Linked DNA regions of Mus musculus: regions 1, 2, 4, 5 and 6 are each reported to be linked to region 3. The links are microRNA targets in miRTarBase. Many come from high-throughput screens and were not tested one by one. Region 3 holds a microRNA gene; each other region holds the end of a gene's coding sequence. Distances are from middle to middle.

What was found. The annotated mature microRNA mmu-miR-425-5p reads AAUGACACGAUCACUCCCGUUGA and lies in region 3 at 2,695-2,717, opposite strand. An mRNA with a match to its seed (bases 2 to 7 or 8) in the 3' UTR can be bound and repressed. Matches are read on the target gene's strand: a 7mer-m8 pairs with bases 2 to 8, a 7mer-A1 pairs with bases 2 to 7 and ends in A, and an 8mer does both.
Region 1: the mRNA of Acaca is a reported target of mmu-miR-425-5p. The part of its 3' UTR that is shown has no 7-base or 8-base seed match.
Region 2: miRTarBase lists Nsg2 as a target of mmu-miR-425-5p. The part of its 3' UTR that is shown has no 7-base or 8-base seed match.
Region 4: the mRNA of Gnb5 is a reported target of mmu-miR-425-5p. The part of its 3' UTR that is shown has no 7-base or 8-base seed match.
Region 5: miRTarBase lists Foxred2 as a target of mmu-miR-425-5p. The part of its 3' UTR that is shown has no 7-base or 8-base seed match.
Region 6: the mRNA of Adam23 is a reported target of mmu-miR-425-5p. The part of its 3' UTR that is shown has no 7-base or 8-base seed match.

What each region holds. Positions count from the first base shown.
Region 1 is chr11:84,398,831-84,403,903 of GRCm38, reverse strand. Acaca (acetyl-Coenzyme A carboxylase alpha) reads right to left here. Exons shown (of 54, transcript NM_133360.2): 54 at 2,253-4,344. The coding sequence ends at 4,221. Among named protein-coding and RNA genes, the nearest start is that of Aatf, 110 kb to the left of the region's middle.
Region 2 is chr11:32,057,043-32,062,115 of GRCm38, forward strand. Nsg2 (neuron specific gene family member 2) reads left to right here. Exons shown (of 5, transcript NM_008741.4): 5 at 401-2,169. The coding sequence ends at 592. Among named protein-coding and RNA genes, the nearest start is that of Gm12108, 42 kb to the right of the region's middle.
Region 3 is chr9:108,566,433-108,571,505 of GRCm38, reverse strand. It overlaps Mir425 (microRNA 425), which reads right to left and starts at 2,729; the gene lies at 2,645-2,729. It overlaps Ndufaf3 (NADH:ubiquinone oxidoreductase complex assembly factor 3), which reads left to right and starts at 4,070. Exons shown (of 5, transcript NM_023247.2): 1 at 4,070-4,655; 2 at 4,755-4,950. The coding sequence starts at 4,579. Dalrd3 (DALR anticodon binding domain containing 3) reads right to left here and starts at 1,614. Exons shown (of 12, transcript NM_026378.3): 1 at 1,431-1,614; 2 at 1,061-1,356; 3 at 692-942; 4 at 535-614; 5 at 333-461; 6 at 1-60. The coding sequence starts at 1,595. It overlaps Mir191 (microRNA 191), which reads right to left and starts at 3,187; the gene lies at 3,114-3,187.
Region 4 is chr9:75,344,034-75,349,106 of GRCm38, reverse strand. Gnb5 (guanine nucleotide binding protein (G protein), beta 5) reads right to left here. Exons shown (of 13, transcript NM_010313.2): 12 at 4,460-4,626; 13 at 3,184-4,154. The coding sequence ends at 4,143. Bcl2l10 (Bcl2-like 10) reads right to left here and starts at 1,349. Exons shown (of 2, transcript NM_013479.2): 1 at 752-1,349. The coding sequence starts at 1,204.
Region 5 is chr15:77,938,760-77,943,832 of GRCm38, forward strand. It overlaps Foxred2 (FAD-dependent oxidoreductase domain containing 2), which reads right to left. Exons shown (of 9, transcript NM_001017983.2): 9 at 1,763-4,633. The coding sequence ends at 4,401. Among named protein-coding and RNA genes, the nearest start is that of Txn2, 12 kb to the left of the region's middle.
Region 6 is chr1:63,592,085-63,597,157 of GRCm38, reverse strand. Adam23 (a disintegrin and metallopeptidase domain 23) reads right to left here. Exons shown (of 26, transcript NM_011780.3): 26 at 1,057-4,550. The coding sequence ends at 4,502. Among named protein-coding and RNA genes, the nearest start is that of Gm22281, 19 kb to the right of the region's middle.

The DNA of each region.
Region 1 (5,073 bases), not on the chromosome of region 3:
TTCTCATCTACACACACACACACACACACACACACACACACATACACACACACACACACACACACACACACAGACACTGTGGCACCCTTGAACCTTCACTCACACACAAAATAAGAAAAACAACTGCTCTGAGAACTTGCTAGTAATATCCGGCAATGGATTCGTGGTATCTAGACTCTGGGAAAGCTGTTACAATCCACACTGTGCAGGCAAGGTGTCGGAAGCTTTCCCAGGGATGGAAATGAAGAGCCCAGCTTGGGAGACTCACCTGGTCCAGTTTTGGGGCAGGGTCTTGCTATGGCCCTAGCCTGGCTTGGAATTCCTGTGAACTTCTTGTTCTGCCTCCAGATTGCTGGGATTAAAGGTGTAACACACCTAAGAGGTGTGTGCCACAGTTCTTTCTGTGAAATGACTATCAAAGAGCCAGAAAGTCCAGGCAGAATGCTGTTAGCCTTTTCCTAGTTCCAAGCCTGAGCTTTTTGTGTGGTTTCAGTCTCTCCTCATCTCTAGCAACCTCCCTGCTTCCTCTAGAGTAATCGAGTCATTCAGCCCCACTGACTAAGATCTAGCCTGTCCACTACCCAGTGGAGCCTGCTCTGGCTTCCTATCTTCCTGGGGTGGGGGCGCCATTATTCTACTTTCTCACCAACTGCAGGGCACCTTCTTTCGAGAGACACAGCTTACTAGAGTACTGAGTTTATGAAGCTGTCCTAATACCAGTACGGGTTTTCAGCCACAAGGCAGCCAGTTATGTCCAGGATCAGAGAAACTCCCCAGTAGACACAAAGACAGCTTAGATGCCTTCTTGGAGTATAGAAAATAGCTGTCGGTCTAGTATTATTTTCAGTCCCTGCCCAGGGACCACACATACACACGGGAGGTGAGCTTGGACTCAGATTTTGTGGTACCCAGGACAGTGCTCCTTTTTTTCCTTTTCTTTTTGTGCAGGCCCTAGTCTAAACCTTCCCACACATTCAGATATCAGGAGCAGCTGGCTTCTGGTCTGATACCAGTGGTGTCCCAGTGGCCATTAATAACTGCAGACACCAACACTTCGTTCTGACAAGAGGCTTCCAGTCTTAGTTGTCTGTGTACTCATGCTCATTTGGGCCTCCCCAGGGGGACTGCAGGCAGTGAGAGCCTATCTTAGCAGCACAGAGTGGTGCTAGCTAAGCTCCGGGTCTGCTGAAAGCCCATACCCTGGCCCCTCAGCTGCAGAGCAGGTTTCTGTGCTGACGCAGATCCCTGTTCAAAGGGTGCAGCTGCAGGCAGGGAAGCAGTTCTCATGAGGATTCTGTATCCCTCTACTTCTTGCTTTGACACAGGCTCATCTATAGACCAGGGTGGCCTAGATCTCACAATCCTCAACCCCTTGAACGCTAGATTATAAGCATGGGCCCCAAAGCCCGGCTCAAGCTTCTCTTCTTGCTCCTCTTTCTAGAACACTGACTTAAGGGAGCTAATATATCTTAATATGTTATTCATAAAAAGGATTACCCCCTGCTTAGAAACAATTCCCCCAAAACAAAACCGAACTTAATAATCCAAGACCCCCTACTACCCTGCTTTGCTGCCTCCGTTCCTGGGGATGGGGGTGGGGCACAGAGCTTGTTCTGAGGAAGTGGGGGAGGGAGAGTCAAGGACACATAATCATGACTTTCCTGCCCCCTAGTGCTCTAAGTGCTCAGACTTTAGAACCCAGAAAGCCTAAAAAACATCCTCAAGGATGGGGTGGTCCCAGAACTCATAATGCTGAGGACAGTGGAGTCCTGTGTACTGGCAGGGAGCACGGTTCAGGGTTTCAAAGATTTTTGGGTGGCTTTTCTCTGGGCTGGGACTCTGGAGCTGGTACCCACAAACAGGCTGAATTCCTTCTTCCTAAGGTCTTTCTTGTCCCTACCCTAAACTAATTCTCCTTTGGGGGAGTGACTTGTCAGGACTCCCACCTGGATCTTGGCAGTAAAAATTCTATAGTAGAACACTCTATGGGAAAACACCCCTAGAGAACTTGTATTTAGCTGGAAGGATCTGGAATACTGGTAGTGTCAGAACATAGGGCAGGCCAAGGCCAGCACTGGACAAAGCTGTCCTGCTCTTACCCTGTTCATTCTTAGCAATTTCAGGAGACAAAGGCTAGCTGGCACTGTAGAGCCAAGGAGGGGTTTGTCCCTTCTCTGGCCCCTGTAGTTCTGCTGAAAGTGGGACCAGATAATGGGTGGCTGCGGGCATGAGTTGAAATGACAAACGGTGGCTCTTCTACAAATGTGGAGGTTTATTTCAACAAAACGTGAGAAGAGTGCATTGGACTGAAGCCCCTGCTCGCTGGCGTGTGTGTCCATCGAACTCTCACTGACACGTGTGAAGGCTGCTTTGTGAACAAGTGGACAGATAATATGGCAATCTCAGTTCAAGCCAGTCTGGGTCAATACATCATTCACCCTCCTCCTCAGTAACCCTGCATGTGTAATGGGCTGTGGTACCATCACACTGCCCATGTGCCGTGGCTCTGACTTCTCCGTATTGAGACGGCCCGGTCCCGGGGATGGGGCAGCAGGGAAAAGGGACTTATACAAGCCCAGCCCACTCCACCTCTCCAGGAAAGCAGCTTTCATACCACCGGGGGTGTGGGATTGGACGTGCTGTAGCAAAAGTGGAGGCCAGAGATAAATCCCATCCTTACCTACCAGGTAAGCAGGGAACCAGGGGCCAGGGAGCTTCCTTCTGGACTAAGGATGCTCCCCACCTGATCCAGCTCTGGCCCTCCTGTTCCTTCCACCAGGGCTTGTGGGGGTGGGGCAACTTGCATCTATAGTCCCTTGGATGTCCACTTGCAATGTGGCACCATTGAGAAGGTCCTCTGGAATATCTGCTTGAGGTGCTCCTGAAGGGGAGGTCAGCTCTTTTCGTGGAATCCAGGTTAAGGCTCAGACTGAAGTACTCACTTGAATGGTTTCTGTGGCAGGTATCTTTTTCCTTCTCGATCTTCAGCGACAGATGTATTAGTCATAAAGTTGAAACTGGATGTTATACGAGTTATGATCATCTTCATTCTTGCTTTATGAACACAAATGCTGAACCATCAGCTGCTTTCTTGGACAAATGGGTAGTTAAACTTTTCAGGCCACCCCTGAGGAAGCCGTGTTGCTGGCCACATAGGGCCCAGAAGTCTGGAAACACCAGCACCGAGACTGAACTGTAAGGTATCTTAAGGGCAGGTGAATTCTTGTTCCCTGGAAGCCTCCTAACATCAAGAAGGCCAGTTTCTGGTGCTGAAAGCACAGGTGTCATCAGGTGGGTGACCCGCCATACCTTCTGCCAGGAATAGGCATGGCCCCATAGTGACAACCTGTCCCCAGAAGAGACTTCTCCTGTTTTGAAGTACTCTTCCCCTATCACCAACAGAAAAGAGCCTCCTCTTAGCCACCTCAGGCTCCTGCACTGCCTGCCTGTCTCCATCCACCCGCAGAGGCTAGGGCCCTTATGCACAGGCCTTTAGCTCCTAGGTATAGTCACTATGTGATTACATAGTGATAAGGTGGTGGCAGGGTGACCGTCTCCCCAGGGATACTGAGACGCCACTGAGGTGGTTGAGTGTGTTTGACCAGGAACAATGACATGATCTGGTTTTGAGCCTGCCTGTTAGATCATGGCTTTGCCTTTATCTCTGTGTTCTCACGGGCTTGCGACAGATTTTCTGCTCTGACATTTCTCAGTTATCTTGCTGTGGTTAGATGGGACTGTCTCTCTCCAGTGCCTGGCATGTGCTTGGTTGCAATGTGGGGTAGTGATCGATGGACTTGCGTCTCCTGGCAGCCCCAGCCCTCCCCTGTTGGCTGTGGCTCATGGGGCAGGGGCTGCAGACACTTGGACACTGTTCACACGACCCTATGCTGGGGCAGGCAGGACGGAGGGCAGTCCTGCTTTAGTCTAGTAAGACCTCATGGTACAGGCAAGTACCTTTCATTGCCTTCTCAGTCCTGTGCATGGGAAGAGGACTGTCATCATAGCTGGGCTAATAAATACTGAATCGGGTATGTGTGACTGGGCTGTGTGATCCTATAGCCCAGGATGTCATGCAGAGCCTGAAACACTCAAGGGAAGCAAATGCCACTGATCCAGTCTCAGGCCTCCGGTGCCTTCTCATTACAGTGGTCTCAGATGGGAGAGGCAGCCCGACTCTCTTCTCCAGAGACAGGGCAGGGGTGGGCGGGAAGCTCCTCCTACGTGGAAGGGGAATCCATAGTGGAGAGGATCCTTACAACTTCTGCTCGCTGGGTGGGTGAGATGTGCTGGGTCATGTGGACGATGGAGTCCATGGCGACTTCTGGGTTGGCCTGGACCAAGCTGCAGAGAAGATTAGGGATCGTGAAGAAGAGATAGGTAGAAGGCCTCAACTGGCTTGCTTAAGAACTGCCAGACAGATAGGCTAACAGGGGCTGGCATACACACTGTGCTCACCGCGTCATGGACTTTCCTATGCTCAAATGTAGCTAGGTATCTAGGGAGCAGTTTAAAATGAACTAGAAAACATCTTTCTATGTTAGAAAATAAGGAGTAATTAAAAAATAACCCCCAAAGAAAAAATGACGGGGACACAATAACAGTGGTGCCGGCAGGAAGGGCACTTCTTAGACACATAGAATAGTAGTGCCAAATGTCCCATAGCAAACTATAAAATAAGGTTAGTAGAAATAGTCTACATCAATAATGAGTATAGAAATGTATCAGGGAAGACAGGGGCTCTTGCTTGCAGAGTTTGAGTGGAGTATAATTGTGGAAGACAGAATTCAGATCAAGAACTATTGAGCTTGGCTAGGCAATAGAATTTTAACATCAGGGTCAGATGGTCTTTGGGTGCCTTTTAGTGGGGTGGCCAGAACACTGCATGTATGATGATATGGCCATAATGCAGAACTTGAATCACAAAGAAACATCAGATAACCTAAAATAAGAATGTTCTATAGGCCATGCAGTGGCGGTGCACTCCTTTAATCCCAGCACTTGGGAGGCAGAAGGCAGGCGGATTTCTGAGTTCGAGGCCAGCCAGGTCTACAGAGTGAGTTAGGGGGCTAG
Region 2 (5,073 bases), not on the chromosome of region 3:
AGATAAATACATAAGGAAATACATATTAATGTTAGGAACCAATAACTTTACTAAAAAAAACAAATACATATATAAAACAAAGGACATGAAATTGTCATTATCTGTGGACAATGGCCCAGACAGCCACTGGGGACCTGATGTCATGCTACCAAGAGCAGTGTCGTATGGCCATCAAGCCTATGTGTCTGGTCTTACCTCAGTACCAACAGTAGGTATATTTCCTCTCCTCTGAAGATGGTGATGGTATAATCTTGGGGAAGGTCTACTGTGGCCAGGTGCAGGAGAAGAGTCCCCTGTGGGGTACTTGATGGAACTGAAGTCCCTGCACAGGCCATCAGCGTCCCCGTGGGTGCCAGCAGCCCACCCGGCTACTCCTGACTCTTATCTCTTTCTTCCCCAGCACAAGCGCTGTATCCCGGCCTCGCTGGATGCTTACTACTCGTCCCAGGACCCCAGCTCCAGGAGCCGCTTCTACACAGTCATCAGCCACTACAGTGTGGCCAAGCAGAGCACTGCCCGGGCCATCGGGCCATGGCTGTCAGCAGCTGCTGTCATCCATGAGCCCAAGCCACCCAAGACGCAGGGCCATTAGAGGTCTGCCCCAGCTGGGATGGGGGTGGGTGGGTGGAGAGGGAAACCCCCCTCCCCACTAGTTAAGCAAGGCTGGAGCTACAAGACAATACTGTACTGCTAGGGTACGGGGTGGGGGCGGGGCAGGATGGGGTCTGGGGAGCACTCCCCAAAAATATTGTGCACTGGAGTTGTCTGAATCGATCTTTCCTTTTGTTCTTTTGTATTGTTGCTTCGTACCCAAGTCAGGCTCGTGTACAAAGGCATGTTTCGCGTTGATTGTTCCCATGTAAGATATTTTCAAAGCCGCCGCTTATTCTTTGTTAGGATAATTTAGAGACAGAAAGGGGAGCCGGATAAAATGAATTTAAAAAGCATGAAACGGGCTCCACGTGGAAGACACAGCAGGGCAGTAAAGAGCAGAGTCTGTCTGGGACTTCTTAGATAAGGCCCCATGGCTTCTGTGTGGGCGTCCGAGTACTGCGTGGCGAAGGGTGGGCTGTTCAGTTTGCCTGTGGTCTGCAGGAGAGAAGCACAGCGATGGCAGGCAAGGCTGATTTGGAGAGGAAGGTGATGTTGGCATTTCTCAACTAGGAATGCACAGAGTACCACTCAATGGTGAGCTTGCAAGATTTGCACAAACTCATGGGGGAGGCATCCACGCTCAGCCCTGGGCAGCCCATGGGGACCTAGGCTCCGATGCTCACAGGGCGGCTGTTGTGCCTCAGCAAACACAGGCGTGGATAGATGTTGTCTTTCTTTTGTTTTTCTAGGTGTATCCCTAGATGCTGCCCGTGTTTTCAAGATGGCAGGGGTGGGAAGGGAGAGAAAGGAAGAGAGGTCAGGCGGGCCGCTCTGGACCCAGCTAAAAGCATAGGCACCCGGTTTCACCCGGGTTTTGCTTTTTCCCCAAAGCGCTAATGACAGCAGGAATGACAATTGAATTCTAGTTAGTTGAAATCTGACAGCCGGGAAGAAACTTGAAGATTGGGCAGGCAGTGCTCATTCCTAAAAGAAGCTGGAGAAGGTGACTGTTTGCTCACTGTGTTGTGTTGACAGAGTTGTCCAGACTTCCCAGCTAGGTTCTAGAAGCACCTGACAGGGAGGTGTGGCCAACATCCTTAGGCTTCTCACTGGCACTTTAGCAAGGGCCTCCTGCTTCTCGCGAGCATTCCAGGAAATCCCTTTTCTTGGAGGTGCTGGCCCCAGGTCCAAGAGAATGAGAACTGGCCAGGGGAATTGCCCATTTGGTCTGCATAGGCCGTTTAAGGGTATTTTTTTGTGGCTTGCTATATTGCTGAAATTATTGTACACAGCAGCTGGGTAATAGGAATAGTATATCTCAAACCATCCTGCCAGATACTCTCATCTGATTTCTCCTCCCTCCCCCCATCTTCCCATCACCTTGAGTCACCTGTAAATTCATTTGTCATCTGAAACGGATCAACAAATCTTCCCTAGCAAAACCACAGAGCGCTTTATAATTTTGTGGTGTATTTTTGTCAGTAGGTAGCAGAGGCTGAAGTATTTTTTGGTGTAATTCTTGAAATTTTCTGACAGGAAAAAAAAATAAACATAGATGTGTCTGAGTGTCCTGACTGTCTGTCCATCTGTCCTTGACGGCTTGACCTTCTGCTCAGTGAACCTCATGGGAATGCTAGGGGCACAGGAGGTGGGATTGGTAAGTCCAGGAGCAGAGTGCCCTATGACGTGGGAGGAGAAACTGGGATAGTGTGTGTGGGGGGGGGTCTCTATCTTAAAGTAAGTATAGCCTGATACACTGCTAAAGTCCTGGCACGATGCGGAGCCCTGGGCAAGATCCTGAAGCCCTACAAAATCTTAAGGACTACTCATGATCCTGAGAATGTCACGTGACACCAGAGCCTCATGTGGTAAAGAGGTCAAGATATGCCACTAAGGAGCTAATAGGATGCCGAAGGACCCTATGATATGATATATGAAGTATCATGATATGACATGAAGTATGTTATACCAAGAGGCCTGCAATGCTGAGGTTATGATATGCTGCTGCTGTTATGATTGATTCAGAAGGCCTGACATAATACCGTGGGCATTACATGATGCTGAGCATTTGATAAGATGCTGAGATCCTCATGGTGCAGAAGGTCTGACAGACAGGATGCTAACTAAGGGCCTTACATAATGCTGGCCCTGCGTCATGGTCCTGACATCATAGCAAGGCACTGACATGCCGGTTAAGGGACCACCATGGTGACCCTGTATTTTACTACCTGATCACATATTGTGGTTCTCAGCTGGTGCTGAGCACCTGCATATGATATTCAGTTTCTAAAATGCTGCTTGCAGGCCTGCCTTGATGCTGAGTGGCATGTGACATTGAGGTCCCAACATGATGCTGAAGTCACAGCGCTATTCTGAAGTCCTCGTAGGATATTAAAACAAGGTCCTGACATGGCGCTGAGCTCTAAACATGACAATATTGAATGTCTAACATGACACAGAGGTCCAGACATGACAGAGAAGACATAACATGATACTGGAGATCCATTCATGATGCAGGTACTGACAAGATGTCAAGGTCTGGACACAAGGCTGAAGACCTCCTCTGATGCTGACCCCCCTGCCATGACACTTAGGGCATGGTATGCTAAATAGGCTCTGACATGACATTAGACTCGTGCTATTTTTCTGAGGGCATTACATGAGGCTGAGGACCTAATGTAATCCGAGTGACAGACACAATGCTGAGGTTCTGGTGGTGATAGATGAATCCTGTGGTTCTGATAGATGAATCTGGTACTGACATGACATGAGATGTTCGTGAGGTGACATGAGATGTTACATGATACTGAAGAAATAGCAGATGCAGAGGGAATGAATAATGTTGGTTTCATTCCATAATGCTCAGGAACTCATGTGATAATGCAGATGCTGAGGTCAGGACTTGTTGCTAAGGATCTGACAATGTGCTCACATCCAGAAATGTTGCTGAGGTCCCATCCTAGTGAGGACATCTTGTGATGCTTAGGACCTCACATGATGCAGAGATAATGGCATAATTATGAGGTCCTGGCCTGATTCAGATTGCCTGATATATTGCTAAGGTCTCACATAATGCCAAGGCCCTGTCACGATACTCAGGTTTGACATGATATCACAGACGTCCTGACATGGTTTGGAGGATATGACATGAACCCAAGATTCTAACATGAACTGAGGTCCCTCGTGATGTGGAGGGCATGAAGTGGTCCTGAGGTCCTGACCTTACTGAATGCCTGGTGTGATTCTGCCATGATGCTTGCCATGATGCTAAGGGCTGGGTGCTGATGTGATCCTGAAGGCTTGAAGGCTGAGTCCCTGACTTCCTGACGTGTTGAGACCTTGACATGACACTCAAAAGCTGGTTAGACGCTGGGGGGGGGGGGGGTTGGGGAGAACATGGTAAGAGATTGAAGTCCTGACATATGACTAAGCTCCTCCCATTATTCTGAGACTCTGAAATAAAACATTATCCTGCAGTCCTGACATGATGCCAGGACTTCACACCATGCTGCTTCCCTGACAGGAGGGTGTAGTCCTGACATGATGCTGAGAGCCTGGTATGGTGAGAATTTAAATAAGGAGTATTTCTGTCCACTTTGTGTTGGTACAAGAGCATATACACAGAGCGCTATGAATAGAAATGAATCTTCTTTCTCACAGGCCTGGTTGCTAGGAGTTCAGTATCAAGGTAGTGACACCTTCTAGGGAGGCAAAGAGGGGGTGTAAGAGAGCAAAGACTCCACCTCAAGCAGCAAGCCCGTTTATATTCAGCATTAATCTGTCCATGAGGCTAGAGTCCTCATGGCCTGAAAATCTCCCACTAAGCCTCACTTTCAATAGTGTTGTGATAGGGATCAAGTTTCTAACACATACTTTTGGGAGGGACAGATTTAAACCATTGCATACAGTCACTGCCCTGAAGCTTAGAGACAAAATTAGATACAGAAATAGTCAGTGGCAAAAGAGGGTCTGTCTGCTGAAGGCTCTGCTGTCTCGCTAGCCAGCGGCTCAGGGAGGAAGCAGGGAGCCAGCACTGGGTCTGCTGTTTTAGCATGCTTTAGGCGGTGGTCATTGGCATCACTGAACAACTGAAAGCTTGAAGCCAAGGTGCATGAAGAGGTGCCCATGGGCTCTGCTAGAGAAACTTGGGTTAAATCTAGGTTGAGCGATCCCATGACCCCTTTCCGTTGTGTGTCAGACCCCAAACAGCATGGGCACAATCACAGCCCACTTCCCAGAACATCAAACTGCAGTTTTCACAGACGCGAACTTGCTTATTCTTAGCCTGAATTCAGTCCCAGTGTTCAATGCTAAGAATAGCAAATGCCCTTTGGTATGCCAAGTGCTAAGCGCTCACCAGTTCCAAGAGGGAGCCACCCCTACCTTCGATATCACTGCCATCGACTGTCACTACCACTTCCGTCTCAAGTGCACAAACATCAGTGAAGCTGTGTTTGAGGTGATGTGGCAAAGCGGCAG
Region 3 (5,073 bases):
GGCAGTCAGCTGGGTGCCGGGTACACCAGCCATTTTCACGGGACCACACACCAGGTGTTTCTGTGAAAGACTGGAAGGGCTCAGCCCAGTTGGCACTACCCTCCCCGCTTCAGGGAACTATATCAGTTGCTTTTCTACCTTGGTTTTCCCAATCTGTAACCACCAGCCTTCCTTCGTACCTCCTCAAGACACCATCATCCTTTTTCTTAAGACTACATAGTCACAGGACATTTGCACTTGTAGCACGGGTGCCTATGGTCACATCAGTCTCTAAACCCCATGGTATTCCAGGCCTGAGGTCGGAGGTGGTTTGGTTAACTTTGGTAACCAACCTGCTTGTGAGGAGCCCGGTCATCCAATTTCTGCCAGAGCAAATCCAGCTTTTGTTGCTGGAATGCCTCTTCACAGCTAACCACGTGTATAACCACGCAGTCATCTACACCAGCATCTGGACGCCCAGCCTGAGGAGAGATGGGGCAGTTACTACAAAGATACAAAAATCCAGTTTGGGCAGAGGTCAAGGCAGCCACTCACCGGGCCTGGGTGGCCGCCCTCTGGCCAGTGGCGCACAGCCTCCTGCAGCTCCGAGAGCACAGAGAGCACATCTTCAGTCACTACAGAAAACAAGAGGTGTTGAAGTGCCTGGCAGTGCAGAGACACAACCCCACCCATGTTCTGCCGTTTGTCCTACCCAAACAGTGGTCTATGCTGGGGTCATAGCCAGCAGTGCCTCTCTGTTCTACCAGTTCCTTCAGACACAGTCGGCCTAGGACGCCAGGGGGCAGCGTCGCTTCCTTAGAACCATTAAGGTTTGCAAGAACACAGGTTCTCAGTGTTTCGGTCGAGGTGCTCTTCGAGGCAGTGGGCCATTCCACCCGAAGTTTCTGGAGGAAAGTTGACATGTGAGGGTCCCGCACCGGGGGCACTGAGCACACACGTACCCTGCAAAGCAAGGGAGGCTGTCTCAGCCTGCGGACCAGGCTTAGATTATCATGACTCCCACCTTTTCTATCCCCAAATGTTCGGTCTTTTGCCATTATAGCTTCGAACACGCACTTACCCATGAGCACGCAGTACCCGTACTAGATGATCGGCTACGAGCACGGCACGCAGCTGGCTCAATCGGAGCGTCCCCGAATTACAGCGCAGTGCTGGGCAGTGTAGGACAACTCGCGGGCCTGGTGAGGCAGGTTTGGCGGGAGTAGCATAGGAGGCCAGGGCACCGAGTACATGTTCGAAGACAGCGGGCCGCTGTAGTTGGAGCGATAAACCCGCGGGTGTCGGCGCGCAGCGCAGTACAGGGGCCACTCCGGGACCCTGCAGGCAGGAGACCGCACGGAACACGCACTCTGGCACCTGCAGGCAGATGTGTGTAAGTGGGCCGTAGTTCCGTGGATCCCGCTAGGCATGCCCCACAGGAGCGCACCCACCTGGCCGTCCCTGAAGCGCGCCTGTAGCGCGCTTCGCGGTGCCAAGAAGTCTCGAACACGAAGGTGCCGGGCATGGGTTTCCTTAAACCACACTGGGCTACCAGGCCCTACAGCTGCATTAAGGGCCTCCAGCGTCTCGCCAACCCCAAGGCGCCCGGTCGCCATGGCGACCGGAAGACTAAATGGAACAGGAAGTAAGTTATCCGTAGAGCTTCCGGGAGGTCCGCCTGGCGGGGGCGGGGATCCGGCCGTGGACTCTCCTGAATGGACCAGAGCGATCGAGCATGCCAAGTGAGCTTACATTCTACCCACGCCTCCAGCTCTCCCTCCCGATGGCCTTTCCTGTATTCATGAGCCCTAACCTCCAAATTTGAGGGTCCATTTTTCCTCCTTTTTAAAAAAATCGTCACCCCGAATTATTACTTTGATAACGGATCTTTGTTACCAGGCAAGACACTTTGCCACCAAAGTTTCACATCTTTGTGTTTATGTCTCTTTTTTCTTTTTCTGCCCCATTTAAACAAATTAAAGGCCAGACGCACGAGACGAAATGTCAAAGGAATAAGGCTGTACCATTAATGACACTTTGTTTTTCAAGACAGGGTTTCACTGTGTAGCCATGGCTGTCCTGGAACTCTTTGTAGACCAGAAAGTCCTTGAACTCAGAAATCCACCTGCCTCTGCCTCCTGAGTACTGGGATTAAAGGTGTGTGCCACCACTCGTGTCTTCCATTAAAGACTCTTTACCGCCTACTTGGAAAAGTAACGAAACAAAGCAAAATTTGAGTTCTGATTATTGGTACGCCTTTCCTCGGCTGCGGTATGGAATGTCTTTATTCCCAGTAAAAGCCCAATCGGATAGAATTGCCCATCTTGATACCCGAGGAATTAGTCATCATGATTCCAGGATTACCAGCCTTTAATGTTTTTCCTTTAAACTGGTGTTACCGGCACCTTTGGTTCTTTAGGCAACTGGTCAGTTTAAGACAAATGTGATGATGAGAAGACCCAAATAAGCAGAGCTCTCAGGTAGAGCAAGCTGCAGGTGAGCTTTTCTATGTCCAAACTCTTTCGTTTCCAAGTAACGTGAAACTCCACTTCCCCCAGTAATGAATGAATCCAACCGGTGAACTTTGCTCCGGAGAGGAGTGACATCTAGAGATAGGAAAAGTTCGGGAAGGCCGGGGCTATGAGGCCCTGTTTGGGAGGTGCCGAAAGAGCACTGGGCGGACACGACATTCCCGATGGCTTCTTGGGTGCCCACTCAACGGGAGTGATCGTGTCATTCCAAAGCACTTTCCATGCTGTGGTGTGGGTTCAGCTGCTAGCAGGGCTGGGACCCACCAGCAAGTTGGTGATTTTAGCTACTCTCCCTCCATGAAGACGGTTGGGGTGGGTTTTCCCCAGGAAGTGAAGATCTATCTTTAGCGAGCTGCGGGCTGGGCGGCCTTGTGGGACTCACCGCCATTGCGGCCCTTCAGAGAGAGGACCCAGGACCTCCCTGGTCAGAGTTCTCCAGGGATTCCAGACAGGGCCATCAGCCCGAGCTTTTTTCGTCGCCTCTGACTGCCACCATCAGTCTGGGGGTGCACCTGAGAGATGGAGATCAGAATGGCCCAGTAGTGTAGTGTTTCTGAGAATAGAGACCACATTATCTGGGCCAGGGCGCTGCTCAGGCAGGAGAGCAGGGAACGAAATCCAAGTGCAGCTGGAATGCTCTGGAGACAACAGCTGCTTTTGGGATTCCGTTGCCCGCTGTCCAGCCATTGGAGGAGGGCTCTTGCTCCCAGGTCACTCGCCCTGAGGCCAAACCGGAACCCGCCCATCCCTTCCCAGTGGGCTGAGTAGGAAGGAGTAGGTGTTTTAAACCAGTCTAGTGAGAATGAGACGCTCACCTGGGCCCCAGAACAATAGAAGGTGGGGGCATCCCCCGGGACGAGGTCCTGATCCGGATTAGATCAGAAGGGCTGGATTAGCCCTGTGAGTCCCAAGCAGGAGCCACTTGTACCGGGCAGGCTTCGGAATCCGTCAAGAGGGAAGCGATTCCGTGAGACCCGAGAGGAAGTAAACCCATGTGTCCACTTCTGGGACTCCCCAAAGCTTAGGACCTTTTGTCTGGTGACGGTGCCAGCTCATGAAGTGCCAGGGGCCAAACTGGCCCACATAGCAGCGGCAGGACAGCCTCCCCCCAAGCCCATTGCAACCGGCCCTGCAAAGAACCCCACAGCCAAGCCCCATTTGTGTCAAGCATCCCACCCGTCTAGTCCAGCGGATAGAGAACGCGACAAAGTTCCTCTGAGGCCAGGACAGAACCGGTGCGCAGAGATGCCCATGCCGCGGGACGCCAAGGACTCATGCGCCAGTAGGCCCTAGACTCAGCTCAAGACAGGGGGAGGGAGACTCTCGGTACGCGCGCGCAGAGCGCGCAAGGGCGGGGTGGTGCTCCAGGCGCGGTCTACTTCACGTCTGGTCCGGTTTGGCCCAGTCAGTCCCACTCGAACAGCTACTCCAGCACTGCCACGGCGTGCCCTTCCGCTGGCTCTAGCTGTCCCCAGACTTGGAGCCATTTTAAGGAGAAACCATCTGGCCACACCCCCTCGCGCTGCCGGGAAGCCAATCCATGCTCGGCCACGCCTCTCATGGAGCGCTGCGCCGTCGCCAACGGTCGCGCTGGTGACGGTTGGGGAAAGCAGCGATTTCGAGACTAGCTAGGGAAATTTTAGCCATCTGCCCCGCCCCCGGAGCCCGATTCTCCAAAGCCTGGGATTAAGGGCCTGGAGGCTGGCACCACACCCTGGCCAGGTGTTCATAACAGGACCAGGTGCGCAGCTGCCCCGCCCTGGTCCCTGGGAGCCCGAATAATGGCTGAGAATCCCAGGAACAGGCCGCGGCAGTGGCCTAAACAATACCCTTAGGGCGCCCGTACTAGCAGGTGTTTTTCCCCCTCCTCCTTAGGGACTGTCGCTGGAGGCATGGGGCGGGGTGGGCGACAGGTGCTGACACACCCGCATGGGGAGACAGAGGCTCTGCATTGGCCTACTGCGCCGTTCAAGGTGCGCGGTGCCCTCCGGGACGCAAGGGGCGCTGTGGCTACTTTGAGACAGACAACTCTGTCCCTACGACCGGGTCGTTAAGCGCCGTTGCAGCCATGGCTACTGCTCTAGGATTTCGCTGCCTTTTCCGAACGCGACCTGCGCCGCTCTGTCGGCACGTCGACCGGCTGTGGTGAGCATCCCCTGTCCAGCCTCTGACCACTTGGCCTCGGACCTTTCAATCCCGCATAGTCCGGCCGGGCCACGACTTCCTGACTTTAGCCCTCCGCAGGAGGAACCCGCGTCGGGGACACCGGCTTTCTCCGGCGGACGATGAGTTATACCAGCGGACTCGCATCTCACTGCTGCAAAGCGAGTTCCCTCAGGCCGTGTACATCGACAGCTACAGTAGCAGAGGCTTCACTATCTGCGGAAATCGCGTGTTTGGCCCTTGCGTGCTGCTCCCACAGACGGTGGTCCAGTGGAACGTGAGCCTTCTCCCCTACATTGAAATTTAAATAGCGCCAGAAGCCACTCCCTCCTAGCAAATTTAGCTTTATTTTGTTGCCTATTAGTGTCGCTGTGAGTAAAGGCTGTATAGATTTGATGTG
Region 4 (5,073 bases), 33 Mb from region 3:
CAGGGCTTCACAGATGCTAACAGTCTACCATCAAGCTTTTTATCCTCATCCTGTGTGTTTTCCTTGATCAATAGCTCCATGCAGCTGGAGGGAGGCTAAGGACTGCCTCGTTAGCCTACACCACCGAGATTAAGGACCAACCGAAAGCCATGAGCCTGGAGGTTGCCCAGCAGGGAAAAGTACAGTGGCCTAAAAGATCCCAGTCAGGCTCCTCACTTGGTGGCCCCACACATTTCACAATCCCTAAGGCCTTACTCTAATAAGGGTAAGTCTGGGCATGGTTACTGCTCCCTTTATACCACTTGGGCCTATTAGACTTAATCAACCCTCCCTGACAGTCCTGGGCTAAGAGTTAGGGTAAGCCAAGTGTGCCTGACTGCCCCTGAATGAAGTTTTATAAAAGCTATTGAGTAAGAGCAGCCTATAAAGAAATCCCTGAAAAAAAAAAAAAAAAAAAAAAAAAAAAAAAGAAATCCCTGGGCTGGAGATGTGGCTCACTTAGTTCTTGCCCAGTATGCTCAAAGCCCTGGCTTCCCCTTCTAGCACCACAAAAACCCACCATAATGACATAGCCTGTAATCCTGGTGCTCATGGGATAGAAGCAGGAGGACCATAGTGGCAGGGTAGTATCTGGTGAGGTTTGAGGCCAGCCTAGGCTGGCTACATAAGACCCTGCGGTAAAGGCACTCAACACATCCTCCTGTGCCCCGTCTCCCAAGCCATCTCCGTCACCCTCCTCCAGTGGTCTCACCCAGCCGCCGAGAGCCTCCAGCCTGGCGCGGTGCCGACGCCCCATGAGCAGATTATACAGAAAGTTCACTATGAGACAGCAGTCTCGGGTCACTATGACACGATTCCCCAGATCCCTCTTCTGCTTGACAGCCATGTAAGGGCCTTGATTCATAAGCGTCCCCGCGAAGGCCAGGAGCATCACCAGTTGGCTCCAGCTGAAGTCTTGGTCTTTGGAGAGCAACTTATCTGCCATCTGTTTCACCAGCTCCAGGCGATTGCCCCGGCTTTCGCAGAAGGAGGAAAAAAATTCTTGGTGCTCCTGCTGGATCTGCCTAGTCACAGAGCGAAGCAAGGCCGCCTCGACAGACGTGGGCGGTGGCTCTGGGGTGTCCGGCTCCCGTGCGCAGAAGAATATGTAGTCAGACAGCAGCCGTCTAGTGCGTTCATGCAGTGGGTCCTGCGAGTCGGCCATCCTTTGGCTCCTGCACCCGGTCCAACCTCAGTAGGCTTTCTAGGCTCAGCTACTTCCCACTCTGACCCACCTGGACATTTGGGAATATCACTTGCACCTGGTACAAGGAGAGCGTCATGGGGTGGGGCAAGCAGGAGCAGCGGGAGACCCTCGGATTATTGTTGAGGTTTAAATAGATGGGGGCTGGAACTTTCTAGGGAGTGAATAGGTCATTCTCCTGCCTCAGCCTCCGGAGTTGCTGGGATTACAGACTTGAGTCATCAGGCCCAGCTGGTAGCGATTGCAATTGGCCTACTTGTTTGGGAATTAAGGATATACCCATCATTTTGCAAGTGGTTGTCCCAGGCTGGAGGAGGCAAGGTGGCCCCAACCCCTGACTCTTGCCTATTTCTGACCTACCAGCAATGCCTCCTAGAGCCTGTCTGTTCTCCATTGATACATTTCTAGTACAGTGGTTCTCAACTTTCCCAATGCGGCTATCTTCAGGTTGTGGTGACCCCAACTATAAAATGATAGTTGCTACTTCAAAACTGTAATTTTGCTACTGTTATGAAGCATAATGTAATATCTAATATGTAATATGTAGGATATCTAATATATGGCTCCCACAGGGGTTGAGACCCATAGGTTGAGAACCACTGCTCTACTGAGCAGGCCTGCTGGGCTCTAGCCTTTGTGGGCCCTCTCGGGGCTCCTTTTTGGCATTCTGTGATGCTGATGTTACCCCAAGTTTCCTCAGAGGCCTTCTCCCAGAGGCCAACTCTGCCCAGTTGTCCTGGTCCCTTCTTTAAGCCCACACTCTCTAGAGTTCTGCTTTAATCCAGGAGAGTCTTCCTGGGGGCCTGAGGGGCAGCAAAGAGAGCTCTTTAGAGTGTGGAAGTATAATCCAGAACCCTTCTGAGTCCCTGAGACGCTTTCAGGGCTCCTGAGGGATATTTACATAATATTAATGACATGACAAAAATATATGTGGCTTTTTGTCACTCTGAGTTCCGCAGAGACTGCTGAAGTGGGGACAGTGCCATTCTGCTGACTGGAAGAATGTTGTTCTGTATTCTGAGGGTCTCTGTAAGGAGCATGGGGCTGGGGCTACAAAGCCAGCACTAAGCAAAGAGCCAGGCAGAGTAGGATAAGACAAGACAGACAATCTAGAGACACACATACCCCCTTCTTTTCAGGGTCAACAAATCTTTGGCTGGTCAGACACCCAAGGCCATCCACAATGCCAGTTTTTTTAGCAGTGTCTGAGGTGTCCTTTGGTTCCCAGTACACTTAAACAAAACAGAATTAAGCATTCTTTTAAAAGATGAGGTCTTGGAGCTGGGGCTATATTTCAGTTGGTAGAGCGTGAATCCTGAGGGAAGGCCTGGATCTGATCTCTAGCAGCACCTACAGTCTTAGTGCATCTAGTGTGCAGGGCACGCTGGCCGATCAACATCTGAGAGGCCAAGGCAGAGGGATAGAAAGTTCCCAAGCATACTTGACAATGTAGAAGGTTTGAGGCAGCCATGATACCTTGTTTCATTATAAACATAACAAGAGGCAGGGAGGGAGACTGCTCAGTGGGTAAGGATGCTTGCTACCAACTGGGCCTGACAACCTGAGTTCCATCTGACTTCCTGACTTCCACTGTTTATACTCTGACCTCCACGTGGGCTCTGTGGCCTGTGTATTCACGACCACACACAGAGAATTAAAAAAAAAAAATCAAATAGATGAATAAATAAATAAATACCAGAGCAAAACAAAAACATTGAGAAGATGAGGCCTCACTATGTGGCTGAGGCTGAACTTGATCTCTTGGCTTCAAGCTATCCTTTGGCCTCTGCTTCTCTGTACCTGAACTTAAAAGTATGTGCCACCATTTCTATTAACATGGCATCTCATTACACGAAGAGTTTCTAAAAGAACAAACCTCTACACCTTTAAAAGAACAAAAGGAAGAAAAAGCAGGGACCTTGTAATACACAGGAGCCAGTCGCATCTAGAAGGAATTTATGATTCAAATAAAGACAAGATACCCCTTGGATAACAAAGACATTATTATTATTCATGGCCTGCCCACCAGTCTGTGTCAGTACAACTGCTGTGCAGGACATTCGAATATAATTTATAGGGACAACACACAGTTTATCTTAGGCATTTCTGATAACACTACTAGCAGGCTTTTAAATCAGTTTAGTGGCCTGTCTTCCCATGCCAGAAGGTTCTGTTTGCTCTCTGCAGTATTTGTGCTAGGAATGGCAACCTGTTTTGCCCTCAAGTGTCGGGGATGCTCAGCCTAGACTGCCATCGATCACAAGTGAATTATACAGTTTTTTTTTTCTGTTTTCTGCATGTGTCCGTTTCATTTCTAAAGACTCCCCCAGACCCTCATCCCCCAAAACAAAACCAAACATTATCTTAAAAAAGACAACTGAACAGGTTGAAAAAAGATAATTTTACCTAAAAACAGTTTTAAAAAGTGGTTCTGTGTAGTTACATCTGGAAATAGAATTTCCTTCTATTACAGACCAGTGAACATTCTTTCTTACAGTCCACATAACCGGCACATCCCAAGGATGGTTCTAGAAGCCACAGTCCACGCCAAGAAAAGGTACAGTTTAAAGTGCTCTGAAGACAGACTAGATCCAAGGAAACAACGAGGGACATTTTAAATGCTGATAAATGTGAAATTCCATTGGCTGGAATAATTTCAAAAACAGACAGAACTTAGCAGAGTTTTTGAGATGACAGAAGGGCTTGAAGGTCCAGTTGAAGTGCCACGGCCTATCCGAGTGTTTCCAGGGAGGGGGCAGATTTCATGGAGACACTGGACGGGGTGAGTGAGTGCCGAGCTGTGAGGTTGCTCCCATAAGCTAACCTGTGGGAAGCCCTGGGCTCATGGAGAAGTCATATCTACACGAGAGGACACACATTCTTGAACGCTGTCAGAAGATTATGCCCAAACCTGAGAAGACACAGATAGGTACTTTTTAATAGTTAATAGTTTAAGAGTTGAGTTTAATGTTTAAAGATATGAAGTTAGAGTGTACACACATATACATACACATATGCATTCACGCTCACACACTCCACTGAACAGGGCTTCAGCCTATTTTCTCACCACCATGTTGAACACCTGTGTGCACGAGGCTCCCAACCTCCCAGAGACAACCACTTGTCACCTGTATCTCTGGACAGGGGCAGAGATTGCTCAGGAAGGCCACCACCCGTCCTCTCTGTTCACACAGGAAAATGGAACACCCTTCTTACTCTTAGGGTGTGATCCCATGATCCCGAGCAGAATGCTGTCCCATCAGGAGACACTCGCAGAGTGCTGACGCGGTTTTCATGTCCAAACAGGATGGAGACCCGGGAGCCCTTGAGAACATCCCAGACATTGATGGTATAGTCATTGTACCCAGCAAAAAGCAGGCGACCTGGAAGAAGATATAATGGTTAAATCAGTTCCTGTTTTTCCTTTCTTGACTCTCATTCACTCACTCACTCACTCTCTCATTCACCAATTAATTTCATCATCCATCCATCTATCTACCCTCTCACTCACCACCCTTCCGCCCACCCACTCACCTATCTACCCACCCATCCATCCAACCATCTACCCTTCCATTCATACATCCACCCAGCCACCCACCCAGCCACCCACCCACGAATCCACTTACCCACTCACTCACTTATCCACTCACCTAGCTACCCCACCATCCACACAATAAACACAGATTAATCTAGGCCACTGTATGGCAGGCAATGTGTGTTGCCTTTGCAATTCAGGAGAAGTAGTCATTGTCTTCTGGGGAAGGCATGGAACAGAGAGGACTATCACTGTAGTACCATGTGGTAGAAGCCACCATGCTAGGGTCACATGT
Region 5 (5,073 bases), not on the chromosome of region 3:
AGAAGTCTGCTCAGACATGGGTGTAAGCCAATGGAAAGTCTTTATTAGCTGGCCACCGACTACAATGGGTGTTCAGGATCCCAATGTAGCACCGAGCCTTTCTCAGGATGACCTTTTAAGCACCAAAACCATGTTCTGGGCTGACACACTTGAGTTAACAAGAACAGTTAGCTAAAGTCAGAACTACCAAAGCTAAAAAGCAAGGCTAGTACATTTAGAGACTTTCCTATAACTATGGACTTTGGTCGATTAGGTTTTTGTCTTCATCTGGCTGATGCTACTATCGACTTCTGAGTTTTACAGCCTGAATGGCTCTTCCATAATGAGGTCAGTTGTGCTAAGGTCTGGGGCCCTGTTGCAGTTTGAGGTAGGTCTCATGCAGTTCAGGGTGGCTTCAAACTCACATATAGCTGAGGTTGGTCCTTTCAATTGGGATTATAGACCTGTAACATTATACTTGGCTGACATGGGCTTTTTTTTTTTTTTTTTTTTTTTTTTTGAGATATCATATAATGTGTTCTAGGTTAGCTTCTACGTTCAGTGTAGAGTTGAGAGCTTGGCCTTGACTTTTGGATCCTCCTGGTTCTGCCTCCTAAGGGTCCTGGGATTACAGACGTATGCCACCATGCTGGACCACCATGATTCCAGGGCTTTGTGTGTTTTAGGCAAGCATTCTACCACCTGAGCCACATCCCCTGGCCACAGATTTGCTTATTGGCCAGTCGGTTTCCAAGTAGACTTCAGGGACTTTTATCAGACAGAAGGAATTTGGTGCTGTCCAAGGCATTGGAGACCAGCCCGGGGGGTAGGGTGGGGGTGTCTCTCCCACATGAGGAATTTTATCTCTGATTTCCTATCATTTGAGAGAAGATGCTTCCAAGGATGGCTATGCTATGCTGTCTCTGAATTCAGACTCCACACAGGAGTGCATCAGTCACCCACTTCCTTAGCCTTCCTTCCAACCACTCACATCCTATTTTATTGTTTTTGTTTTTAAGGCAGGATCTCCTTATGTAGCTGTTGGAGTAGAACTCCTTACATAGACCAGGTTGGCCTTGAACTTGCAGAAACTCACCTGCTCCTCCTTATGCCTTCCAAGGGCTGGGATTAAAGATATCTTTTATAGGAGCTGGAGAGATGATGGTTTAGTGGTTACGAGTACTCACTGCTCTTCCAAAGGTCCTAACTTCAACTGCCAGCACCCATGTGGCAGCTCACACCTGTCTGATGCCCTTTTCTGGAGCACAGATGTCATGCAGACGAAGTACTCATGTGCATAAAGGACATAAATAAGTAAGTCTTAAAAAAAAAAAAAAGATATCTTTTAGCCAGGCGTGGTGGCGCATGCCTTTAATCCCAGCACTTGGGAGGCAGAGGCAGGCAGATTTCTGAGTTTGAGGACAGCCTGGTCTACAGAGTGAGTTCCAGGACAGCCAGGGCTACACAGAGAAACCCTGTCTCCAAAAACAAAAACAAAAAACAAAAAAAGATGTCTTTTGTATCCCAGCGTGATCTTGAACTTCTGACCCCCCTGCCTCTACCCCCTACCTCCCAAGTGCTAGGATTACAAGTGTCTCTCCCTACTCTGTCTCTGGGCACGCTTGCACCCAATGCATAATGCAGGGTGCTCCTTTCCTTTTAGTGATTCCTTCTAGGGCGCCTCTACTCTGGCCACCACAAGGACCAGCACAGTAGAGCACAGCCTCTTGCAAGACTCCCATGTCTACTCTTTCCCAGCCATCCCAAAATGCCAGAGCAGAAATTGTTTAAAAATAAATGTATTTTTTATTTCAGTAGCATATAATCACATTCGAAAAATAAACACAAATTTGATCCAAAGAGGAATAAAGAACCTTGTCCCACAGTCCCAGCAGAGCCACCGTGGTTTCCTATCATCACAGCTTCAAGCAGCTGCTGCCCCCTCACCGGTGCCACATCGTATGCAGTGTTGTGGGGAAAACTCCTCAGCCCTTCCCTACACCCTCAAGGGATGATCATGAGAAGTTACATAACTCCTTTTTGTGTCTCTCACTTATTTCAACCATTTCTTCACCATAATTATTCCTGCTTACTGACTGACTGATTGAGAGAAGATTGATTGATTGATTGATTGATTGAGAGAAGGTCTCATATAACTCTAGCTGGCCTGAAATTTACTGAGTCAACCAGGCTGGTCTTGAATTCACAAGAGATTCTCCACCCCATGCTTTGGGCATGCTAAGATTTAAGGCATATACCACCATGCCCAGTTATTTTTGTCCTTTTAAAGTTTCTTTGAGAGAGGATCTTTTTAAGTTGCCCATACTGGGACTCTCCATGTAGCCCAGGCTAGCTTTAAACCTCAGTTCTCCTGCCCTGGCCACCCTAATGCTAGGACACCGGTGTGTGCCACATCTAGCTTGCCTTACTTCTAATCTTTTCTTCAAAACAGTTATGGGGAAGGGGTTCCGGAGCAATTGGCTCAGCACTTACTGCTCTCCCAGAGGATTTGAGCTCAGCTCTCAGCCCCACACATGGTGGCTTACAACCTCCTGTAACTCCAGCTTTAAGGGACTCTGACACCCTCTTCTGGTCTCTGGGCACCTTCACTCATGTACACATAACCCACAAACAAGTACACATAAGTAAAAATAAATCTAAAAAAAGAAAGTTTTATGGTTCAAGCTTGTAATCCCAATACTTGAGAGGCTGAGGCAGGAGAATGACTGTGAGTCCAAGTGCAGGCTGGGCTATATAATAAGTACCAGGCCAGGACACGGAATCCCTATGGGGTGGGGGAAGCAGAAGACATCTCTAGTCAACTGAGCAAGAACAGAATACTCTGTGTTAAAAACAAATAAGGCTGCCTGATATTTTGATGGAATCAACGATCTGGCAGATGACAGGAAGCAGCAGATGTCTTACACAAGGGTGTCAGCCAGCTACTTGCTAAGGCACCAAACAAGTGGCTCAGCCATCCTCGATGACTGGAGGGCGAGATGTAAGGAGCAGGTTTCAATTTTGTTGTGCTAAATCAAAGACTCATTTGAAAATGCTTTGGAGAAGAGGGTGGGGTGGCAGGGTCCCAGTTTGGCTTGCCAATCAATCTGTGTGGAATATGGCAACACTGACATCCTGGGTTTGGATGATGACTTAGTTAGAAGGTTTGGCACTGTGCAAACTACCCCAAATAGGTACAGGGGTACACAGTTCCCCCTGGTGACATGAAGGTGTTGAATTCTCCTGTTGGCATCTGGTAGGCCAGAAAGGAAGATGGCTGCAGGTAGGTCAGATGGCTAAGAGAGCTTGGACCCAGCCACGACTCTCCTATGGAGAGAGGATGATCCCACGAAGGGGCTTTGGGTTGTGTCCCTGGACGTCTGACGACCTCCATGACGACTGATGGAGGCTGGTGAGGAACAGTACCTGCACTCTGGGGCTATGGGAAATCATGACGTGATCACCATGCTGTACTTGCGGGCAATGCTTTCCCCATGGCTTCTTTGCTAATCTGTTGGCTGAGCGTGGACTCGGGAGGGAAAGCAAGGAAGAGAGGAGCATCAGGGCAGCCCAGAGCTGGGCAAGCGTCAACATTTCTGTGCCCACGGCGGCAGGCACAGCATCACCTTAAACCTGCCCAGGCAGGCCTCAGGAAGGCATGGCTCAGGGTGCCAGGCAGCAGGGTGGGAGAGGGACACACAGGCTGCCAATGCCTGGGAGTGTGATCTTGGGGACAGGGCAGCACTGAGGTGCCCTGCTCCCGAGAACTCAGTTGGACAGATGACCTTGCAGGACTTTCCTGTCTCTGCCCCCATACAAGCCCTCTGGGCCTGTGATACCCAGCCTGACTGCCAGGGAAGGCATCACAGTGTGAAAAGGAAGGGTGGCATAGGGGCAGGCCTCCTGGATAAGGACACTAGGAGATATCTGATGCTTCTGAGTTGGGGTCCATATCTGTACTGGGAAGCAGAGATCCCAACTGTCTGCCCCACTGCTGAAGACTCTAAACCTTGACTCTCATATGCCCACTGTGGAAACGAGGGGCCTTCAGCTTTGAGATGTTCCCCAGGTAGGGCCAAGGCCATCTGCAGAGTGAACCAGAAGGAAAATGAAAAGGCGTTTGGCTGGTCCTAGAAGCAGGCACACAAGGCCAGCATGGTGCTTACTTAGTGATGGTCCAAGTTGGACACAAGCTGGATGTGGAAGGCAGCTCATACCTGACAGAAGGTACCCTCCTCTTGACCTTGCATCTAGCACCAGGGGCCAGCACAGGAAGGGACACCACTCTGTGACTGTAACCCAGCCTTCTGCACTCTATGGGCAGTCCCATTGTCTGTTATCTCTGTGATGGTCCTGGTGGGAGAAGAGGCTTCCCCGGTTTTCTGGAGAGGTGCCAGGCACCATAGTCTGGGGGAGGATGCTCAGAGCTCCTCTTTGTTGCTGTCAAGGGATTGAGTCAGAGGCTCTGGAGCTGTGGAGTGGTCACCAAGCCACCTATTGCTGTTCTCCATGGCCGTGTAGTCCTGCAGGAGCCTGCTTTCCACACCATGCTGCCAAAGGCTCTTGGTGCTTGAGAGCCCCTGCATTCTCAGGTATCCCTGCTGGCAAAAGGGCGGCAGCCTCTGGCGTGTGAGTGTGAACAGGAAACAGGACTCTATGTGAAGACAAAAGGAGGTGTCAGGCCAGGCTTGGGAGACAAGCACGGAGAGGAGCTGGGGCAATGCTGGGGACCTAGGTAACCACATAGTATACTTTCTACCTAGCAGTCATCTTGGTTTTCATATTGTATATACGACTCTATACTCCCTGCACTTAGCCATCACTATCAACAGGACCAACACAGTGGTATAATATACCTGAGTTGGGTAACCCTTACGTGCTGATTAGCTTTCTGACTGCTGGACACAGGCTAGGGTCATCTGGGAAGAGGGCCCCATTTTATTTTATTTTATTTTATTTTTATTTTTTGTTTTTTCAAGACAGGGTTTCTCTGTATAGCCCTGGCTGTTCTGGAACTCACTTTGTAGACCAGACTGGCCTCGAACTCAGAAATCCACCTCTCTCTGCCTCCCAAGTGCTGGGATTAAAGGCGTG
Region 6 (5,073 bases), not on the chromosome of region 3:
CGCTACTTCCATCCAGGACAGCCAGGGCTAGACAGAGAAGAAGCCTTGTCTTGAAAAGAAAGATTGCTTGAGATCATTCCTTTAAAGTCAACTATAAATGGCACCGTGTGCTTACTTTCTTAAGTATGCTATTTGTGCTATTTAAGTGTTTCTGCATTTCCTTTATTACATGAAATTACACAGTAACAAAAGAATTACAGAAAAATGGATGTAAAATTTGAGGAGATTATTCAGACTTGGTAGCACAGGCTCCTTTAGGGGAACTTTAAGATGACTAAGGCAAGATGAGAGACAGTTAGACTTGACGATCAAGCCGGTGAGGTCATGAGCTCAGCAGCTCACAGGTTCATTACCGAGTCTGGAAAGTTCCCTGCAGGAAATGAAGAAGGCTGCAAGACTTTCGTGATGACAGCAGTGTAGACAGCACCTATGTGTGTCTGTCTGTGCTGTGTCTCACCGATAACTGAGGCATGGCCGTAGGGTGCAGGGAAGAGATAGTAAAGATGTTTCACCATGAGGAATATAAATGGTTGGTTAATTTTATATGAGCTACCAGGGTCCCTTACTTTAAATGCTTTTGATGTAATGTACATAACCAGATGATGCTGCTGTCTCCTCCTCCTTTCATCTCCTCTCTCCTTCTCCTTCCTCATGTGTGCAAGCACACACTTTCATTGTTAATTTGGTACCAAGTCAAAGTATGGATGTTACTGCTAACCAGCCACTCTTTAAACTCAGGGACAAACACTAAAAACTCAAAATAAAATCAACAGTGGTATGATGCTTGTCCTGTTTGTTTTGTGTTTGGCTTTCTGTTTCATATGGGGCAAAGAACTCCCAATGACTCTAATAAAACTGAGCCCTAATCCAGAACATGTTTACCATTAACCAGAGAGTTTATTTTGCTCCATTGGCTGCTTCAATTTGTAGTGAACCTTTGATTGTGACTGCCAAAACCCAGACAATAACAGGCACATAGCCACTTAACCAATAATGCAAGAAAACACAGAAACAAGAGTTAAGAAAAACCAATCAGAGCACAAAACTACAACATCCTACATTAATAAAACTTTTAATGCACAGTCAACTAAAAGATGCGTGTAAGGATGACAGAATCTCCGTTCACAGGCAGCCAATAGGATTGGAAGTTAACTTCAAACAAAAGTTCAGGTTGTGCATTGAAAATTTACAAACCATTGAAGTTGAAGGGAACAAAAGAAAAATAACAATGGAAGCATCAATGACCATAAATGTGATGGGATGATTAAAGAAAAAATTCAAGTATTGTAAAGTTCTTCAGACATGTCTTGGAAGTTTGTGCATTTCCCATCTTTGCATAGTAAAAAAAAAAAAAAAAAAAGAAGAAGAAGAAGAAAAGGAAAAAAAAGAAGAAAAAGAAAAAAAAAGAAAAAAGAAAAAGAAAACACATCACTTGGCAAAACTCCATAGCTCTATGTGATTCATGTTTCAAACATGCACCTATGTGTACTGCTCACTTTGCTGGTAGAAGCAGCTCTAATTCAGTGGGCTCATGCACTATCCCGGGTGAACAATGAAGTCAGCGCACGCCTCCTCATCCAGGTGTCATTAATTATTGCAGTAAAAGTATAGCAGGTGAGATAACTCGGTCATCACTGGACACTCTTGTTGGGTAATGTTGAACAATGGGAGGCTTGTGCTTTGAATTCAAATTAATAAGAAGGAATACTCACACTCCAAAATAAGCAAATGGATGGCATGTGCAAGAGAAAATGCAGCATGGAGTCTGAAACTACATAACCTAACACCACTGAAAATGATTCTGACCCATTTCGTACAGTACGATTGCACTACCCTCATGTCCGTACACACATAGCCCAATGCTTGTGTATTTTACATACACAAGCATAATTTAACATTGGAGCGTAGGTTTGTTTACCTATGAAACTGTCAGTGTAACAAAAAGTTACACTGACATTTGTCATATGTACATAATATTTGGGGACCACTGTGGTCTGATTTAAAACATAACATCGCACATTTACAATGTTGTTTGTGAAATGTTCAAAAGTTAACCATAAAGATCTGGTTTGTAACTGACGTGGTCGTATGTCGGATCAAGTCACCACGGTGCCTCAGAAATTGTAACGAAATGAGTATGGTGAGGTTGGCAGCTGCTTGGTATCTCATAGTGAAGTGGACCCCGAAACATTGCAACGACAGGAAGAGATACCAAGTTATCTGAATTTCCTCTGACCTTCCTCCAAGCTGAGCCCATGCCATTCAGTAAAGGGGTACAGCCTGTGTCTTATGGAACCAGGAATAAGGCCAGTAAGCCTTATAGATAGCGCTGTTATTACTATATAAACAAACAGCAAATTCAAGCGAAAGACTGCATACCTGCATAGCACCTGTTTCTCAGAAAGCCATCCGAAGGTTAAGATGTTGTTATGGTTTGGGGTAGTATATAGCAATCAAGGTTTCTGCTCTGTGAGGGTGAAAAGCCAACACTTAAAGATATCTTTGGGGGAGGAGGGAAAGTCCAGTTTCATGCAGTCTATTTTTAGGAAATCCTCCTCCCTTCTAGTCAAGGAATATGTTGTAAAACTTAAGACATGAGTCTTGCTGGAGAGGGCCTTAGAGCTAAATGTAAAAAGTAACTCAGTGCCGGGAAGAAATGCATAGTTTATCTGGATGTCTTCTTGGTAAAAATGGGCCAGTGGAGAAGTAGGGGCTCTCTGGCGGGTCTGAGTTCTTGATGGGTGTTCACTGTACACCTGCATGTCCGAAACAAACCTGAGAGAATTTCCTCAGTAGCCTGTTCCCTTAGGATTGCATTGGAAGCTCTCCTGGCAATACTTAAAGAAGGAATGGGGGAAGATGAGGGAAACTCAGACAGTCCTGGGATCTCCCCAGCTACCTGGAGGAAAAAGAAGGGTGTGGATTCATACACAGTGGAATCCCATCGCAACCCAGAGTCTCAGCAAAACACTGAGCAGGGTGAGTTCCTGGAATCACCATTCAGAATGACAACCTGAAATGAGCAGAAATGACCAGCTGTGCTGCCTCGCCACACTGGGGCTCTGTCACACAGGCTACTTCCCGAGGCAGTTAGATGAAGTATAAATGAAATTTATACATATAAAAAAAATACATTTGAATATGAACAGAATGGAAAGCTTAACTTTTTCCAAGCTTCCAGCATTTGAAAGTTATTAATTTTTTTATTTAAGGCTTTAAGTTTCTCCTCCTTTCACATTTACGACAGGGAAAGAGAGCTGTCGAAACCAGAAACTAAAACAATGAGCTTGGCACTTTTGTGATTAATTTGAGAAGGGTCTGTTTTCCTACAGTATATACATGTGCTTATGATGACATCAAAAGTGTTAGGTCCATCAGTACATATACACTCACATTTACATAATCTTTTGTGTTCTTGTTATGGGTTATTTTCTGTGTCCCCCCCCCCCTTTTAATATTTGGTTTCAAACATACTAGATTTGTGCCCAAACTCCCTGCATCTGTGGCTACTTCTGTCTTGTTAAGCAAGCTCAACAATTGGTGGACATGTTAAAAGAGAGGACAGAGACAAAGGAGGAAAGAAAATGACAGAAAAGAAAGAAAAATAAGATGTGGAGCAAGCAACAAACTCAAGTATAGACAGAATCTTCGCACGGAAAACATTTCCATACAGACAAGCAAAATGGCATATTGAAATCTTGTTTCCATATCTACACTTAGAAAAGAACTGTACAATAGCATTGCTCAAGTTCCAGCTCCCATTGCCAGAGGATGCTTGGTCCAGGAGAGAAATGATGGGTACAGCGGATCAACAAGAACACAGTCCAGATGAGTGCTGCCATGGGCGTGTTTAGAGTGGGCCAGGGGCACGTAGGGAAAGGGTTGGCCAGGGCAGAGGTGGAGGGGGGGTGGTGGAGGATGGAAAGGCATTAATCCAGACCCAGGTAGCGTTTGTGTGGTCATCTGTCATCTTCCCCTCGGGATTTCCACTGTAGGATTTGCTGAAGGTTGGCTTGCTAGCTTGTTGTTATATATGCCATGCAGTTTTTACCCTTTCCAAAATTGGATCTTCATGCCACTGGAGTTTGTCCTTGATAGTAAAAGGAAAAAAAATCATGCCAAATCATTTAGAAAATATTAAGTGCCAGCAGGCTGGGGGGCAGGGTCATTTGCTATTTGTTCTTTTATTGCACTTGTTGCTACTCCCTTCTCCTTTAGTTAAAAAGAAAAAAAAGGATTCTGAAGTTGTTGTTGTTTTTTTTAATGACATGGTCTTTAACCCCTCCCCGTTATTGACAGGTGATGGGGGGGGGGTTACTTGAAGTTATTTCCAAAAGGGACCTTTGTCTTGTACCCCATCCCAATTCTCAGATCTGAGGCTCTGTAGTCATTACCACCCAAGGGTCTTCTTTACAGACTTAAGAGTTCCGGCAGCATGGCTGAAAACATGTCATTCCCAGAACCCAACAGTGCAAGGTGGCATTCCTCCAGTGCAGACGATTCAGATGGGGCCTTGCTGAGTGGGATCGAATCTCCTCTTCTTGACGTTTCTTCCAGAGTACGTCAAAGAAGATGCAGAAAGAGGAAAAGAGAAGCCACAATATTAATCAGATGACAGTGAGAGACAAATGATGACAACAACAATGGTGCGTGTCCCAGAGCAGAGTAATCCACTCACACAGAGGCAGTCTCCAAGTAATCAGAAACAAAGAAAAGCTAATGTTTTGGAACATGTTTGCATTTCCCCATTGAGACTACACACTTTGGGGAACACTAGGGGAAACTTCAGATTGTTCATTTTCAACCACAAATTGGTCTAATTTCAGAAGCAAAAACCATTGCTAATTCACCAGATGAAAAGTACTACAGCATAGTAGTTTTCACCTATGAGAACTAGGAAGAACTTGGAAGGTCTTGTAGCTGTTCCCTCCAAACCCCCAGAGCTCTGTAGCAACAGAGCTCACCAAATCCTTGCTCTGCCTGGCTATTTCTGCCTTGGGTGTGTGAGGTCTTACTCCACTAAGGAACAGGCACTTCTCATGGTGGAAAGTTGGCAGACAGAGTGCACAGGGA